Xenopus tropicalis: one gene and its partner. The protein of the gene in region 1 purifies or fractionates together with the protein of each later gene. This does not show direct contact. Links are inferred from orthologs where the notes say so. Each region holds a gene or a part of one and is shown in the gene's direction. Other genes may lie near its edges.

Region 1 (3,653 bases):
CCCTCTTCACCTCTTGTATCAGTTACTGGTTGCTTTTGTATGTAATTCTGTATGTCCAATGTATAGACCCACTTATTGTACAGCGCTGTGGACAGGGTCAGACTGGGCCGCCGGGGAAAAAACCTGGTGGGCCCCGGCAGCCCAGACCCGATGTCTGTTGCCGCTCCCTGGCCCCAGGTGTCCTCCCCTGATGCGTTTCGCTTATGTGCGCTCAGGGGAGGACATCGGGAGGGGGCCCCCTGCAGGGGGTTAGGGGGGTGTGGCGGGGGGACGGAATGCATCGGGGTACACAGCTGGCTGGGGGCACCTAGGGGGGTGCGGTGCACCCACCAGTCCGACCCAGGTTGTGGAATATATTGCCACTTTATAAATACATAGTAAAAGTAATATTATATAGTGCTACTTATGTATGCTGCACTGAACAGCAGGATAATACATTAATAAAACACAAAGTACAGTTACATTAAAGATTAAGAGATAAGTGTTGGATTGCAAGCTCTACGGGGCCTCTTGCCTCTAAGTATAAATAACCCTATTTGTTTTGTTTATCTCTGTTAAGGTGGAACTTCAGCGTTGGACATTTTGAGCTGAGATATATCCCGGACATTGAGCCTGGAGTGGGGTTTATTGAAGGACAGCTTGAGCCAAGTTATAGCACAGACGAGTCTAGGATTATTTCTGATGGAGATGACCAAGAAGTTGGAACCAATGATTTGGCCATCAAGGTTTCTGTAGCTGACTGGAAGGTTATGGCTTTCAACAGAAAGCTGGGCCATTTAGAGTGGGAACACCAGGTATAAAAACTTTTTTTTTTTTTTGTCTATGAATTTGCTCACCTTAAAACTTTCAACAGAGATATTTTCAGTTTCGCCTGGTCGGACACAGTAATGCCTGATGTGCGACTGGGACCATCTCTAATTAAACTCCACAAATCCAATGAAAATGCAGTCTGTCTGTCCTTTTTGCCCAAGTACAAAGCTGGAATCTGTGCTACCTGCTCCTTGGCTTCTCTATTCACACATTTAAATGTATGGGCAAAGCTTGGGTCTGTAGAGAGCCGGTTTAAGACTTTTTACACTAAATTATTTTCTATGAGCAGTGTAAGAAAGGGAGAATTAGCTTTTGGCCACTCTGGGAACCCATGGTCCTTTTAGCAGGCCTTTTGAAACCTGTACATTTGGAGATTTATGCCAATTTCAAGCACTCCATTGTAATAGGAAAGAGCATATGCTTTAGATAAGATAAAAATAAAATGACCCCATGTATAAAAAGAGGTCAGATGTTCAGTAAGGGCTCTGGCACGCGGGGAGATTAGTCGCCCGCGACAAATCTCCCTGTTCGCGGGCGACTAATCTCCCCGAAATGCCATCCCACCGGCGAAAATGTAATGCGGGCAACTAATCTCCCCGTGTGCCAGAGCCCTAATGGCTGCAGAATGAAACCCTTATCGTATAAAAGTCTATTTCTACTTTGAATGTCCTTTTTGTGGACAAACAGATCTTCTAAACGTAAACAAACCATTTTCACTACTTGCTGTTACTGGCCCTTTCATAGAGGGCTGTAACGGATGCTACATCTCTATGCAGCTTGTAGATCTTTATTGTAGGTATTTTTTCCCCTTGCAGTGTACATTTCATCTCGGACTCTGTTTACACTTGTCTTTTCTCAATTCTGATAAATCTGATCCATCCTTTCCAGTTCTGCACTCCAATCGCCTCAGCCTGGCTCGTTCGAAATGGAAAGGTTGTTCCTATTAGCCTTTTCGACGATACAAGCTATACGTCAGATGATGAAATCTTTGAGGATGAAGAAGATCTTGTAGAGGCAGCAAGAGGTGCCACGGAGTCCAGCTTCTACTTAGGTAGGTACTTGGCATTGCATCATACTCTTAAATCCTTAAAGGAACAGTACCCAGTGCATTTACAATTATTTCTTCATAACTTTTTTTTCTTTTTTAATTATTTTTATTCTGTTTAGGGATGTTCCGTGGACAGCTTTATCTCCAGTCATCTGTTAGAATTTCTGAGAAGTTTCCTGTAAATCCAACTGCATTGGATACTAGGACTAAGGACAATGCCATTATATCTTTACCCAGGATTAAGTGGAAACCTTTAATTCGTAAGTGCCACTTCCTTTCCGTACTGGAATGGGTCTCCCCACCCTTCCTATTTCATTGCATTTATTGAGATGCCAGTATAGAATTCTGCTTTGAGAAGTTGGGAAGAAGGAAGTGATACTGATAACCTATATATAATCTATAGACTTTATAATATTGGGGATTACATATTTGGCATTTATAAAAATATTGCTCCTGTTTCTGAAAAGGCCGATACTTTCTATAACTTCACTGATGCCCCATTATTCATTTCAGACTCTCCCTCTCGTACCCCTGTGCTGGTTGGCTCAGACGAATTTGATAAGTGCCTGAGCAATGATAAATTTTCTCATGAAGAATACAGCAATGGCGCACTTTCCGTTCTGCAATATCCATATGGTAAGCTTAAAAGTTTTTTATTTTCCCTTTAGAGAAATGTCTTTCATATTGAGAGTCTTATTTAGGTGTATGCTGCATTGTTAGGTTGTAATAACACAACAGTTGCTAGGCAGAGTACACATTGGCAACCAAAGAGTCAGCAGCGCTCTTAGGGCAGCTGTATTATTAAGGTGTCTTGTACAACTGTACATCACTAGTCCACTTTTGGGCAAACAAATGTCCATGGGAAACTGGTAAAGTCCTTTTGCAGGTAGTTCTGTTGTCAGTCAGCACCAGTATAAGTTAATGCTATATATCTATTTAGTATTGCATTGGTTTAGCCAGATATATTTGCAGCTGATTTTCTTGTATTTCCCCTATAAATACAAGCTTGTGCCAGTGAAATTTTGTTTTTCTGTCTTCAGATAAATATGCCTTTATGGTATGCTACATGTTGGAAATTTTTTAAATCTGTTGGGCCTGTATAGGTTCTGCGCATACACATCTTGTGGGAATGGACTCATTCTGTTCTCCCTTTGGTGTGGCTAACAGTTTGAGGTAACTGTCATTCCTGGGCAAATGAAGAATGTTATTAGGGGGTGCCTCCCTCTTCTTTAGTGGCATGCCATGTCATTTTGTGACATTAATAATATCTTTTGCTTGTGTTTTGAATCTCTTGGTTGCGTGGCATGACCCTTACCTCCCCTCTTGCATGACTACTAATCTGTTTCCTAATGGTTCCCCCATATATGAATGATGCCCTTTCAGAAAGTAGCACTGGCATCTGTCTCATTTGAACACACTCTTGCCCATAACTGATGCAGCACTTTTTAAACCGGACAATTTTATTGAAATCGTGTATTCAAACATAGTTACTTAGCTCTTATTAGTAACATAGCAAGGTAATCTCTTAATTGAAAGCGTTTCAGTGAACTCAGCTAATGAAATGCCACTCTAGGTTGGGCATTCCCTAATCCAGAAATCCCCAATGTTTTTTACTCCTGAGCCACACTCAGATGTAAAAAGTGTTGATGAGCCACACAAGCATGAGAATAGTTCTTTGGAGAAGCCAAGTAAGGGCTGTAATTGGCTATTTGGTAGCCCCATGTGACTGCTAGCCTGCAGGGGGCTCTGCTTGGGTAAAACTTTGTATCTGGGCTTCCAAAACTTGCCCCCAATA
Region 2 (3,753 bases), on another chromosome or scaffold:
GATACCATTACTCAAAAACTGCATCTGCGCTATAATAAACTTCGGGCGCTTAATATGTTCCCATAGCAACAGTTGGAAAGGGACCCTGTGAAAGGCGGAGCGTACTTCAGCCAATTACCGCATAGCCTCTCTGTATCTCATCCTCCCCACCCTTTGGAGCTGTCACTGTCTCTCATTCCAAAGTTATCTCCTGACTGCTGCGCGGCGATTGGCCCATTACAACGTCCATCACGCGCTCCACCAATCAGCGTTTTTATCACTGTAAGTATCAAGCCGGCATCAGAGATCTGTCGTTTCTCTTACAAGCTAGAAGTCGCGCCTAATAAGTGCAACGCAGCCCTGTTTATCGTTCTCTGAGCTCGTCCTCACCATCTGCGGACGTTCTCGATGGCTGCCATCACTTTTTTGATGTCATCTTTAGCCCGGCTGCGGGTCTCGGCTCTCACTGAGCGGCCCGACATTTTCTTACGGACACCTCAGCGTGACGGCACCAAGGGGCGTGGCCTTATCGTACTCGGATAGTGACGACACTGATCCCTGAACCCCCGCTGTCAGGGAAAGGAAGGAGAGCTAATGTCTGGGGGCGGGGCAAGTGGCAAGCTGAAAATCTGCCATATAATGAAAGGGAAAATAATGTTCATGCAGTCACTGCCAACATGTGATAGGGATAGCTTGGGGCATAATGTCTGCCTATTGCTTTATTTTATAAACGTCTATTTGCCCATCACTAAAAGGTGGAGCTATTAAAAGTTATTCAATTTCCAGCAGCATGGTTCAGTTGTGGGTACGGGAGAGGCCAATTGATCAGATTACTTTTCCCACTTAAATCAGTAATGAACGTCTCTTTAGTTGTAAGAAAGAAACAGTAACTGAGGGGTAACTCTCTATATGCCAGGCGGTATGAAACAGGGCAAGTGGAATTGGTTGCATAGTACTGATGTAGATTCTACATTGCGGGTTTAGTGGGAGCTGGAGTTGCCACCTTTCCTAAAGACATGAAAGGGGCAGGGCGGTAACACAATGGAGGCAGGGATTGGGCAGGTAGCTGATTAGGCTGATTGGGGCAGGCCTTTCAGGTCAGAGGTTATATCCTTTATTTGGCTAGCGGCACTGTAGCGTTTGCCTGCCCACACTCGGACACGCTAGCGCTATGTGCACTACTGAGAGGGGAGGGGCTTGCAAGGTTGAGGGACAAGCGCGCTCCCGCGGCTTGTGATGTGGCGCCGTGCGCGTCCCTGTGACGTGTGACGTGGCCCAGCGCTTGTTGGACATGGAGGCGGCCGTGGCAGTGGTTGTGGTGTCGGTGCTGTTGGGAGGAATTATCCTGCTTCTGGCCTTACTGGGAAAGCGCCCACAGAGCGACAGCGAACAGGACCTGAGCGGTGAGAGGCCGTAACCCGCACCGGGCTGGCTTTAATTGGGGCTTCTGTGAATAGTAGCTTTATGCCGCTGCTCTGGGATGAATGGCTCTCATCAGTGTGGGCAGAGTTGGCTTAGGGTGCAGCAGGGGGGGTATTCTGTTGCATCACATTGGCCTCATAGGGGGAATATACACAACTCCCTGCAGCCCCAGCATCACATTGGCCTCATAGGGGGAATATACACAACTCCCTGCAGCCCCAGCATCACATTGGCCTCATAGGGGGGATATACACAACTCCCTGCAGCCCCAGCATCACATTGGCCTCATAGGGGGAATATACACAACTCCCTGCAGCCCCAGCATCACATTGGCCTCATAGGGGGGATATACACAACTCCCTGCAGCCCCAGCATCACATTGGCCTCATAGGGGGAATATACATAACTCCCTGCAGCCCCAGCATCACATTGGCCTCATAGGGGGGATATACACAACTCCCTGCAGCCCCAGCATCACATTGGCCTCATAGGGGGGATATACACAACTCCCTGCAGCCCCAGCATCACATTGGCCTCATAGGGGGGATATACACAACTCCCTGCAGCCCCAGCTGTAATTCCCCCAGCATCCCACTGACTGCAGGCTGGATTGGATGGATCTCATTTTTATATAACCCCCCCCCCCCAGCCTTCATTTGGGGTCCCAGATTTTCTAGGGGCTCCCTCTTAACTCAGCCCATCCCTGTATAGAAACAAGCACAGTGTATATAAACGTATTCATAAAGTGCCAGCATTCCGTACCTCTGTATTTAATGGGCTCGTTGGCTTGTGGAATGGATCCTTATTCATATTTCTTTGTATGGAGTTTTATATAGTCCTTTTCCTCTGCCTCTTCCTCACTTTAACTTCCCTGCAAGACACTGCAGTCACTTTATATAGAACAAATTAACCCGTTAGACCCAGTACGTTTCTGGGGTTGAGGGGCCCGAAGCCCTGTAGGAGCACAGAGAGGCACAAATCACACAGCACCCTAAGAACGTGCCCCTAACTGCAGCCTGTGGGGCTTTATATTTCTAAGCGTTAGGCCTCATGTGCAGTGCCAACTTCTGTGCCGGTGTATTGCAACATTACCAGTTCCTCTATGGCTTCATGTCAGCGCTACTGATTGTGTAGCATTTGTTTCCAGTAGGTGTGAATATAGTGCACTGGCTGAAACTGAAGGAATTGCATTATATTTGCATGAAAATCAGTCATTAACAGGTGGTTTATAGTGTGCCAACATCTTCCTCAGTGATGTATAAATTGAACATATAGATTATATGCAAAAATACAGCAGATACAAGAGGTACAGTTGGGCCTAATCAATAGAGCTGACAATCTGAAAAGCCTTCCCATAACAGGAAGCTGCCAAGAAAACTTAAGTATAATACTAAAACATTATGAGAATATCCTGCAGCCTGGTGCCTACGTTATACCATGTTAAACCTAGTACAGAAGCAGGTAAGAACACCTGCGTGCGTGCGTGCGTGCGTGCGTGTGTGTGTGCGTACACAGGCGCAGTGTGATGATATAATACAGTGCTTTAGTTGCCCTTTGAAAAGTCATATGCTGTTAATGGTTTATGACAATGTTTGCAATCCAGTACTGTTATCTCTCACTTTTACAATTATGTTTATTATCAGATGTTTGGATGTCATTGCCCAGTGTAAGGCATTTTCATTTAACTTGGTTGCTTTGTGTGTTTTTCAGCCAAAAAAGCAAATGGAGAAGCTGCACCAGAGAAACTACCGGCAAAGAAGCCAAAACTGCAGAAGCTGCGCAAAGAAAAGCCCCAGCAACACAATTTTACACACCGGCTCCTTGCAGCCTCTCTCAAGGTATCCTGTTAACTTGCAGTACAGGAAATACAAAGGGCAATAACAGCTTAACCCTGAAATAATACAATCAACACTTTTCACGCTTTAAAGTTTTAAGACCTATTGGCAGCTTCAGTTGTCCCAGGAATTGAATTATTTATGTGCCTGCCAATACAAAAACTATTGCATTGTCCCCTCCAGGGACAGAACCGCGGAACACATTGTTTTGTCATTTTGGGCATGTTTATACTTGGATACAAGTTTTGTTACATAAGATTTCTTAAATGGAAATATTAATGTATAAGACAGCATTGTGTCTCACAGATATGTTGTATGTTATATAATAAATAACAAGGAATAATTACAATCTACAATTAGGGGCAGTAGAGCAGTGAGAGACAATGAGCAGCACTTTGCGAGAGTATACATCATTCATGAGTTTCTGCTTCAAGGGAGCTTACAGCCTTAGGGTCCCTATCACATTCACACACTCTGGGGTAAATTTTATCTAGAACCAAATACCTGTGTCTTTTTT

What was found. Proteins that work in one complex are often made in the same cells at the same time.
Region 2: the proteins of eif2ak3 (region 1) and tbl2 purify together in Homo sapiens (affinity purification with western blotting; 3 studies listed by BioGRID). This does not show direct contact. The link is inferred for Xenopus tropicalis from reciprocal best matches to the Homo sapiens genes EIF2AK3 and TBL2.

Annotation. Positions count from the first base shown.
Region 1 is NC_030677.2:18,083,852-18,087,504, forward strand, and holds part of eif2ak3 (eukaryotic translation initiation factor 2-alpha kinase 3), read left to right. Parts: intron 1-559; coding exon 560-794; intron 795-1,698; coding exon 1,699-1,861; intron 1,862-1,977; coding exon 1,978-2,118; intron 2,119-2,371; coding exon 2,372-2,494; intron 2,495-3,653. UniProt on the Homo sapiens protein: Metabolic-stress sensing protein kinase that phosphorylates the alpha subunit of eukaryotic translation initiation factor 2 (EIF2S1/eIF-2-alpha) in response to various stress, such as unfolded protein response (UPR).
Region 2 is NC_030678.2:30,761,318-30,765,070, forward strand, and holds the start of tbl2 (transducin beta-like protein 2), read left to right. Parts: upstream 1-1,174; 5' UTR 1,175-1,270; coding exon 1,271-1,382; intron 1,383-3,111; coding exon 3,112-3,239; intron 3,240-3,753. Other genes in the region: bcl7b (B-cell CLL/lymphoma 7 protein family member B), read right to left, coding at 370-461.